2 linked regions of the Yarrowia lipolytica genome follow. The protein of the gene in region 1 purifies or fractionates together with the protein of each later gene. This does not show direct contact. Links are inferred from orthologs where the notes say so. Each region holds a gene or a part of one and is shown on either strand. Other genes may lie near its edges.

What was found. The genes of interacting proteins can lie anywhere in the genome.
Region 2: the proteins of YALI1_F35753g (region 1) and YALI1_E08021g purify together in Saccharomyces cerevisiae (affinity purification with mass spectrometry; 3 studies listed by BioGRID). This does not show direct contact. The link is inferred for Yarrowia lipolytica from reciprocal best matches to the Saccharomyces cerevisiae genes NOG2 and AFG2.

What each region holds. Positions count from the first base shown.
Region 1 is NC_090775.1:3,573,050-3,577,364, forward strand, and holds YALI1_F35753g (uncharacterized protein), read left to right. Parts: upstream 1-2,259; coding exon 2,260-3,789; downstream 3,790-4,315. Other genes in the region: YALI1_F35714g (uncharacterized protein), read left to right, coding at 1-109; YALI1_F35746g (uncharacterized protein), read right to left, coding at 272-1,636. UniProt on the Saccharomyces cerevisiae protein: GTPase that associates with pre-60S ribosomal subunits in the nucleolus and is required for their nuclear export and maturation.
Region 2 is NC_090774.1:799,069-804,194, forward strand, and holds YALI1_E08021g (uncharacterized protein), read right to left. Parts: upstream 3,074-5,126; coding exon 626-3,073; downstream 1-625. Other genes in the region: YALI1_E07984g (uncharacterized protein), read left to right, coding at 1-361; YALI1_E08035g (uncharacterized protein), read right to left, coding at 3,688-4,470. UniProt on the Saccharomyces cerevisiae protein: ATP-dependent chaperone which uses the energy provided by ATP hydrolysis to generate mechanical force to disassemble protein complexes.

The DNA of each region.
Region 1 (4,315 bases):
CCCTGAAGACGTGTTCAGACCTGACGAGACGCGACCAGAGAAACCTAGAAAGAAGAGAAAGAGAAAGGAGGCCCCCAAGGAGGGAGTCAAACCTGTTCCTGCGGAGTAGGCGTATTATACATATCCATAGGGTCAAAATACATTATAACGACAGCAGTAGAAATGAAAAACAACTATATAAAAGAATAAATTGATCGTGTTACATTTCAGTTGTGAGTGGTATTAACGGTTAATATACATTTAATACATTTTATACAGTTTATAGGTGAATCTACTTCTTTCGCTTAGCATCACCAGAGGGAGCGTCAGAAGCCCGCTTTTTTGTGAGAATGTCGTCAGTAACGTATGTGGTAGTCTCGGGTAGTCGCTTGACAATGTTATCAAGGATTTCCAGCTCTCCTTCAAGCACGATTGACGCCATCTTGTGCTTGTGGGTCTTGTCAGACTTCTCACCGTAGGTCTTTTTCTTGGACTCGACGAGTTCCGTCAGGGACTTGACAGCATCGTCGATGAGGAGACCCTGGTTGGACTTCTTCCACAACTGCTTGACGACCTGCTTTCGCAGGGACTTGTCCTGCTTGAGCTTGGACAACAGAGAGGTGTCCTTGGTGATGAGCTCGAGGAAGGAAATAAAGCACGCGAGATCAAACTCGATCTCGCCGGTCTTCCCGACCACAAAGTACTCGTCCATAATCTCGTACTCTCCCTGCCAGTCCTCTAGAAGATCGGTGGCCTCCTCTATGAGGTCCTTAGAGGCCTTGTTAGCGTAAAAATCGGAGATTTCGTCCATAGAGAACTCGACAATATCAAACTCAGTGCCCTCGTTCTCCACGTATCCGTATCGTCTCAGGAAGTCGCAGTTGGGCAGCTCGCCGTAAGTGTTGTATACCTGCTCACCCTTCTTAATGGGCTGAATAGCAGTCATGGAGAACCCTCCATCGTCTTCAGCAATGAGGTTGGCGTTACAGAAACGAGTGTGGGCGTTAAGGGTGTCAGCCAGGGGAACCATAGCCTTGACAAGACCCTCGTTGTACAGATCGTCATGCTCTATGTCCTCATCGTCCTCCTCGTCCTCAGAAAAGCTATCGGGAGCATCAAAAGAGTAGGCCATAATGAGACCTCCCATTCTGTGGAAAGATTCGAGAGAAGTATCACAGTCCTTGAAGTACTCGGGATGGGCATCAATGATGGGCTTCAGCTTTTCCTGGTAGTCCTCCTCAGCGCCAGCCTTGCCAATCTTCTTGACTATCATGGATCCCTTGAGACCCTCGAGCTCGTCGTCGGTCCACATCATGAGAGAGTCCAGCTGGGTGGGCAGGACGTCAAAGTAGGGCTTCCACTTAGTCATGGAGCCAGCCTTCATCATGTACAGAATCAATTGCAGCCACGAGTTGAGTTTCTTGGCCTCGGGGACCTGTTTGATGAAATCGGGGTCATTCTCAACCGACAGAAACGAGCTTCGGGGGATCTTGAACAGCACCTCATCCTCCTCTATGTCTTCGGATGCAATCACTCCTCGACCTTGGTGGTCAGATCGGTAGTCATGAATAGCGATTTTCGGTGAGATTTCGTACTTGAGATCACCGGCGAGAAAGTCGCTGAATGCTTTGGAGTCGTTTTCGAACGTGTCTGTCATTGTTGAAGGTGTCTGTGTTTTGGTTAATGAGTTTGATTTGATTTTTCAGACAGAAATACTTCTGGGTAAACAAATTAAGCTCTCAAAAATATTTCAGAGTTTGGACTATGTAGAGGGTGGTATTGTTGTAATAATGCTGGCTGGAAAGAAGAGATAAGATAAGAAGCAGTTGGGATCAACTTGCTGGTATTTTAAAGCTATTTTTCATATGTTTATCTCGCTTAGAACTGTACATCTTCTCAATATTCTACAGTTCTCCAAATGTCACACTGCAGCGTCATGCATCAACGGTGTCGACTGATTGTTTGACTATGGAGGTCGAAAAATACGAATAAAAAAACATGTTGAAAAATGTTGTATTTATTTTGGTTATTGGTGGGGTGTAGTTGGTTATCATTCGCTGTTTGTGCTTCATTGATATATATACTCTCTTGAAACTCTGACTTCAGCTCATACTTCTGCTTCACCGCTAGTTCTGATTTCCCCAGGGGGAATCGAACTCACGCCCTCAAGAGAAGACATCTCTAACTTCCCAAATAAGCTCAAAAAAAACTGGATTAGCCTTTGTGCCTATGCAGATATGTAAATTTTTTTGACATCTTCTTCATACACATCTACACACAATGGGAACTGGCAAAAAAGAAGCTACCAGACGAGCCAAGGGCGGCGAGACCGGCAACGGCTTCGGCAACATCCGTGTCAAGGGTGTCAACTTCTATCGAGATGCCAAGAAGGTCAAGAAGCTGAGCATGTACAAGGAGGGCCGAGCCAAGCACAATGCCCGAGGAGAGGAGGTCCAGGCCGCCACTTTCCAGTCCAAGGAAATCCCCAACGCTCGAATCGACCCCAACCGACGGTGGTTCGGCAACACTCGAGTCATTGCCCAAGACGCTCTCAATCACTTCCGAGAGGCCCTAGGCGAGACCAAGCGAGATTCATACCAGGTGCTGCTGCGACAAAACAAGCTGCCCATGTCGTTATTGGAGGAGAACAACAAGATCCCCCAAGTGAAGGTGGTGGAGACCGAGTCATACGCTAACACTTTTGGCCCCAAGGCCCAGCGGAAGAAGCCCCAGCTGGCTGTTGGAGACTTTGCCGAGCTTGCATCTGCTGCCGACGAGAGCCAGCAGGACTTCGAGGCTAAGAAGGAGGAGGACAACTCGTGGAAGGTGGACGGCTGGTCCCAGGAGGCCAAGGAGGCCATTTTCCACAAGGGTCAGTCCAAGCGAATCTGGAATGAGCTGTACAAGGTTATTGACTCCTCAGATGTGGTTATTCATGTGCTTGACGCCCGAGACCCTCTAGGAACCAGGTGTACCTCCGTCGAGCAATACATCAAGAAGGAGGCTCCCCACAAGCATCTCATCTTTGTTCTCAACAAGTGTGATCTTGTGCCCACGTGGGTTGCTGCCGCTTGGGTCAAGCATCTTTCGCAAGACTACCCCACTCTGGCCTTTCACGCCTCCATCACCAACTCTTTCGGTAAGGGTTCTCTGATCCAGCTGCTGCGACAGTACTCGGCTCTGCACCCTGACCGACAACAGATTTCCGTGGGTTTCATCGGATACCCCAACACCGGAAAGTCATCCATCATCAACACTCTGCGAAAGAAGAAGGTCTGCAAGACTGCCCCTATCCCCGGAGAGACAAAGGTGTGGCAGTACATTACTCTGATGAAGCGAATCTTCCTCATTGACTGTCCCGGTATTGTGCCTCCCAGTCAGAAGGACTCCGAGACGGACATTCTTTTCCGAGGTGTCGTGCGAGTCGAGCATGTCTCCTACCCCGAGCAGTACATCCCCGCTCTTCTGGAGCGATGTGAGACCAAGCATCTGGAGCGAACTTACGAGGTGTCCGGCTGGAGTAACGCCACCGAGTTCCTGGAGAAGATTGCACGAAAGCACGGTCGTCTGTTGAAGGGAGGAGAGCCCGACGAGTCTGGAATCGCCAAGCTGATTCTCAACGACTTCAACCGAGGCAAGATCCCTTGGTTCGTGCCCCCTCCTCAGGCCGAGGACATGGAGAACGTCAAGTTCGCCGCTGGAGAGGGCCGACTGGGAGAGATGAAGAAGCGAGAGATCCACGAGGCCCCTGCTGCTACTGAGACTGCCGAGGAGACCAAGGAGGAGGAGTTCAAGGGTTTTGATGATTAATTGGGCTATTTATAGTAATAGAGATGCATGCTTGTTTGAGTGGGAAAGTGTACAGTCTTGTAGTATGGCTAAGTAGTGAGGTGATACAGAGTACAGTATGTACAGTACTTGTACAAATAGTTAATCTACTCGTTTTGTACAATACTTAGAGATATGAATCATTACTTGGTACCATGTGAGGACTTATTCAGCGGCAAGTGTGTTAAATGCGCCCCCTCGTCTTCCCCGTTTGTCGAAGTTCGACTCCTGGTCAGATCAGGCTGAAATATAAGCTGTTTGGACCACCAGTTGTTTCTTACCGGAAGTCTGAATTCTCTGTTCCTCGTGTACAGTATAACCCCGTTTTGCTTGCAGTCGATACAAAGATTATTCTCTTAAAAGATGTTATAATTAAAGTAGTAGTAAGTTGCGCTGGGGGTACATTTTCACAGTTGCGGACATTGTGCAGCAAAATGCGGGGATGAATTGATAACTAGAATGCATCGTTTTAACAGGTATGCAATATCAGCCAATCCAGGTTGGTACA
Region 2 (5,126 bases), on another chromosome or scaffold:
AAACCACGCCGACCAGTTGACTGTTCTTGGAAGCGGATGGTGGCGAAAGTACTCCAGTGCCAATTTGCAGGGAGGAGGAGGCCATACGGTGCCCAACAAGCAGGGTGAGCTGTATGGCAGTCGGCAGCTGAGTGGCGCTGTGTTCTGCGTCAGTAACGACACTGCCGTGGTGGTGAGCGACAAGAAGACTTTATTTTACTCGCTGGGCACAGAGAAATCCATTGAGGTGGCTTGTGACTTCGTTTCTGGCGTGGAAGCTGCAGCCGTGCGAGCCAAGGGCGATTTGGTGGCTGTGGCAGGAGGACGAGCACTGGTTCTGTTGAATAGTGCTGAAAACGAGAGCAACATTGTGAGACGTTAATCACAGAACCAGTAAGGGGTTTGGATGGAAGGGGAAACATTGGTGAGACTACTTTCAGTCATACGTTAATAGCCATGCCATGTAATTTAATCATAGATTTGAAATTCACTAAAAGCACACATACCGACAGTGAAAGATGCAAGCTGAAGTGTAATCGATTGATGTCTAGCATGCCATATATTAATTGCTTCCCTATATACCGTCATTATAACCTCGTTCTATCCTTATCTATGTGCAATTCCTTATGTTTACCTTTTCGAATGTTTAAGCAGGAGAATTACCCTCAGCCCAGTCAACAAAATACTTGAGCATCTCCTCGGTCACTCCTCTTCGAGCTCCCTTGAGAACATGATCAAAGTCCTTCTTGGTCACCTCCTTGGCATCTTCGTCCTGAGACATTGCGTACAGACCAGCCTCTTCACAGAGAGCAACAATTTCGGCACCGGTCATGCCCTCAGTTGTCTTGGCGATCTCTTCTAGGTCCACCTCGGAGCCCAGGCACATGTTCTTGGTTCGGATCTTGAGAATCTGCTGGCGGGCATGCTCGTCAGGAGGTCCAACGTACAGCAATCTGGACAGACGACCAGGACGCATGAGAGCAGAGTCAATAACGTCAGGTCGGTTAGTAGCAGCCAGAACCATGACTCCGTTGAGAGACTCGATACCGTCCATTTCTGTAAGCAGAGACGTGAGCACTCGTTCTCCTCCAGCGCCTGCCTCAGAATGTCCTCTAGCAGTACTAAGAGCATCAATTTCATCGAAGAAGATGATGGAAGGGGCAGCAGCACGAGCCTTTCGGAAAATCTCACGCACGGCACGTTCACTCTCTCCAACATATTTGTTGAAGAGCTCGGGGCCCTTGACAGACAGGAAGTTGAGACCAGACTCGTTGGCCAGGGCCTTGGCAATGAGAGTCTTGGAACATCCCGGGGGTCCGTACAGAAGAACACCTCTAGGGGGTGTGATTCCGAGGTTTTTCATAGTATCAGCCTTGGTAAGAGGCCACTCGACCATCTGCTTGAGCTTCTCCTTGACTCCAGACTGGCCTCCAATGTCACTCCAGGTGGTGGAGGGCTTCTCGAGGAAGATTTCTCGCATGGCAGATGGTCTGACATCCAGCAGAGCTCGTTCAAGGTCAGGCATGGTGACTTCCAGACCGGAGTTGACAGCGTTCAAAGCACTGCCATGCTCCTCCAGACCTCGGTTGATGGCGTTCATGACTCCTTCTCGACACAGAGCGCTCAGATCGGCTCCGACATAGCCGTGAGTAATGCTAGAAATGTACTGGATGTCTTCTTCGGACATATTGTGAGGCATATCAGCCATTTGGATGCTCAAAATGCTCAGTCGGGCCTCAGCGTTGGGAATGCCAATTTCGACTTCTCTGTCAAACCGGCCAGCTCGTCGCAGAGCAGGATCAATGGCGTTGGGTCGGTTAGTGGAGCCCACAACTACAATCTTGGCAGAAGCAGACTGAGACATACCGTCCATCAGAGTGAGTAGAGTAGCGACAACTCGAGACTCGGCTTGTCCAGACTCGTCTCCGTCTCGTCGAGGTACCAGAGCATCAATCTCGTCAATGAAAACAATAGCTGGCTGGTACTTTCGAGCCTCTTCGAAGATGGCTCGTAAGGACGACTCGGTCTCGCCCAGGTATTTGGATACAATGGATGGCCCGTTGATTGTGAGTACGTGTGCATTTGATTCCTGAGCAACAGCACGCAGCAGCATAGTTTTTCCGGTTCCAGGGGGTCCATGAAGAAGCACTCCTCGAGGTGGCGAGATGCCAAACCTCGAAAACAGAGAGGGATGATGCAGAGGAAGCTCGATGGTAGATTTAAGCTCCACAATGTGTTGATCCAGGCCGCCGATGGACTTGTAAGTAGTAGTTTTGGGTAGCTCCCAGCAGTTTCGAGTTGACACAACCACTTGTGTATCTTCTAGCAGAAACAAGGGAGACCAATATGAAACGTGGTTCTTGAGCTCAGATTGTTCCAGTGATAAGGATCCAAGATCTGTGTCGCCAACGTCTGTCACTGTGACGTTCACGTACTCGCCAGACTCGATCTTCACCTCCATACTGAGTCCTGGAGACACCATGGCCAGCTTCTTGAGATCGGTAGTTGTAGCATCAATAACAGCCTGTTCAGGGGAATTGGGTGTGTTTATCCGCACACTGACCAAACTCGCCATGTCCATCTTGGTCTTATATCTCTCCACTTTGACTCGATCTCCAAACAGGAGAGCTCCTGCGTCCTTGAGTCCTGCACTCACGGTAACCACGTTGATGTCGACAAGATCGGGGTCCTCCACAGCCTCGGGGATGGCGCAAACGGTTCCTCCTACTCCCCGATCACCCTCACGGTACACAGACACAAACTCGTTGTTATTGAGACCCAGAGCCTCGAGAATCTTTGGATGCAATCCAACCTTGTAGATGTTCTTGTTGTGCGTCACGGCGGCTTGGGTCTCTCCCTGGGGACGCACGATAAACAGATCGGGGATCTTGACGGGCTTTTCTTTCACCTCGCCATCGTCCTTGGTCGAAGACGACTTTTTCTTGCTGGTAGACGAGCTTTTGGGCGCCATGGTGATGATGATAAGAAAATTAAAAATTGTGCATGAAATTATGCAAGCTAAAGGGAGCTTATTGATGAAGGCGGGGTGGGACAGTGATAGATATGGGAAGAGATGAGGTTGAATAGTAGACATTTTTGGTGTCAAATAGGAATATTTTTGAGCTCAAAAATTGATCGAAGCTATCTAAAATCGAATCTGCTTCCAAATGGACGAGATAGAGCGTCTGTATCGTGTTACTTATATATTTTGAGAGATAAAAGTTTGAGAACAAGGTAATGTGATTTAAACCACTAGTTAGTTACTAATATAAAAACAATCGATCTCTTCTGAAAGAAACTGGATGAGTTACATACTGTTGTTGTGAAGACACTCTGTTTGCACGTCCAGTCAATAAATAGACCGCTATGGAGCTTATTTGGGTATGCCCTTTTGAATGATAGCGACAGTGAGCTACCTTTTGTATACAAGTTTTTATTGAATATAAATAACTATTGACAATTTGTCTATTTACAGTGCAGCCCTTTCTGCTGTTGTGGCTATTACCCGTCACGTCGTGTTCCATTCATGCCGATCGTTGTTGTCCCCCTACAAGTAGGTGTTTCATACCCAGATCCATCGGTTCAGGCTCGGTCTGGGACATGTCCTAGTGGCCAACTCAACAAGAACCCGTGGATAGATGGAGATTTACCAGCCTGCTCGTTGCCGTTTGTTTCTATGAGTTTTGACATCTTCAACGCAATACTGCCTTAAACCAAAGTCATTAAACCAGAAGTCATGTAGCCCTCCAAAATCACTTCATGAACAAACTCCTCGGCCTTCACCCCACCATGCTCAATATGGATACTTGCAATTAGCGCAAACAGCATCTTGGTGGCATAGTGAGTATCATGCATTTTCCTAAACGCCTGTCTCTTGTTGGCATTTTCTTCCGGAAGAGGCACGTATAGCGACTTGATGAGTTTCGTGTTCTTGACAAACGCAAGCACCAGGGTCTCGTCACGAGTAAGTCGGTCAGCCAGGCCGCTTCGACAAATGTCAAAGTTCATCAGGTTGGCCTTCTTTCGACTCCAACTGGGTACCTTTGTCAGGTAGCTGAAAACAGCAAATTTGTATGCATGTTGGCCCAAAAGAACACGCGAGTTGATAGCTCCGTATCCCAGTGTGTCTTCAATGTGGGTCTTTTGTGTCTGAAACGGCGTGCCCTTTCTTTGAGCGCTAGGTGTAAGCGTATGTGAAATGCACAGAAGCTCTCTGATCACAGCCTCAGGAAGCTCGTATTTGGGTCCGATGAAATCCTGAACGTAGCGTACAGATTCGATGTCGATTGTGACCATCTTGAGTTCCAGCAACGAGTGGACATCGGAGTAGAGGATTTCTTTGATTGGCGACAGAGGCGAAAGTCGAGTTCGGTATGAGGGCTGAGTGTCGGAGGTTAGATAATGACTGGATCGTGTCCAGCGGGAGAAGCTGTGGTGTATGAGTGGATTTGCGCGCGAGATCTGCGGCCTAAGTCCTTTTAATGACTGCATTGTTGTGGATGGAAGTCTGGGTGCCACTTGAATTTGGTGATACAAAATAATTTGAGTTGGGAGGTTACAGTAAACGGTGAAGGACGTCCATACGTGATGGGGGTGTAATTGGGGTGGCTATAAGTGGCTGTCTACGAAGAGCGGGAGGGTATTCTAAGAGATTTGAGTGACTATTAAGGGAGTTTGAATAGAGTGAGTTATTTTCTATACTCAAAGTAAGCCGTTATTGTAGTGTTTGTGTGATGTGACATATTCTCCCCTCTATCCAAGTCCTTTTAAAAATTCCGTTTGTTGAGATCAAGTCCAGAACACCCAACTAACTCCTGCATACTTCAAGTACGAAATAAGGGTCTGGGGGTCTCAAAATATTCTTTCATTCTAGCCCAATATTGAACATTTTTGAGATTTGAAAAAAAGGAATATATAAAATAAACGAGTAGAACTGAGTATAGCACCTTTAAAACCTTCTACCACGCTTCAAGACCCACTTCTTCAATCCCCTAAACCCCCTTCTCCACCAATAGAGTTTGTAATTTTTCCACACGTTTTTCTCCCAACTCGCGAGGGTTAGGTTTCCAACCCCAATGAGGACTTAATGACCAGCCTCCCTTAACTCCAGCAGCGAAATTAGCCTCCCAGCCTGCCCAGACGCGTTT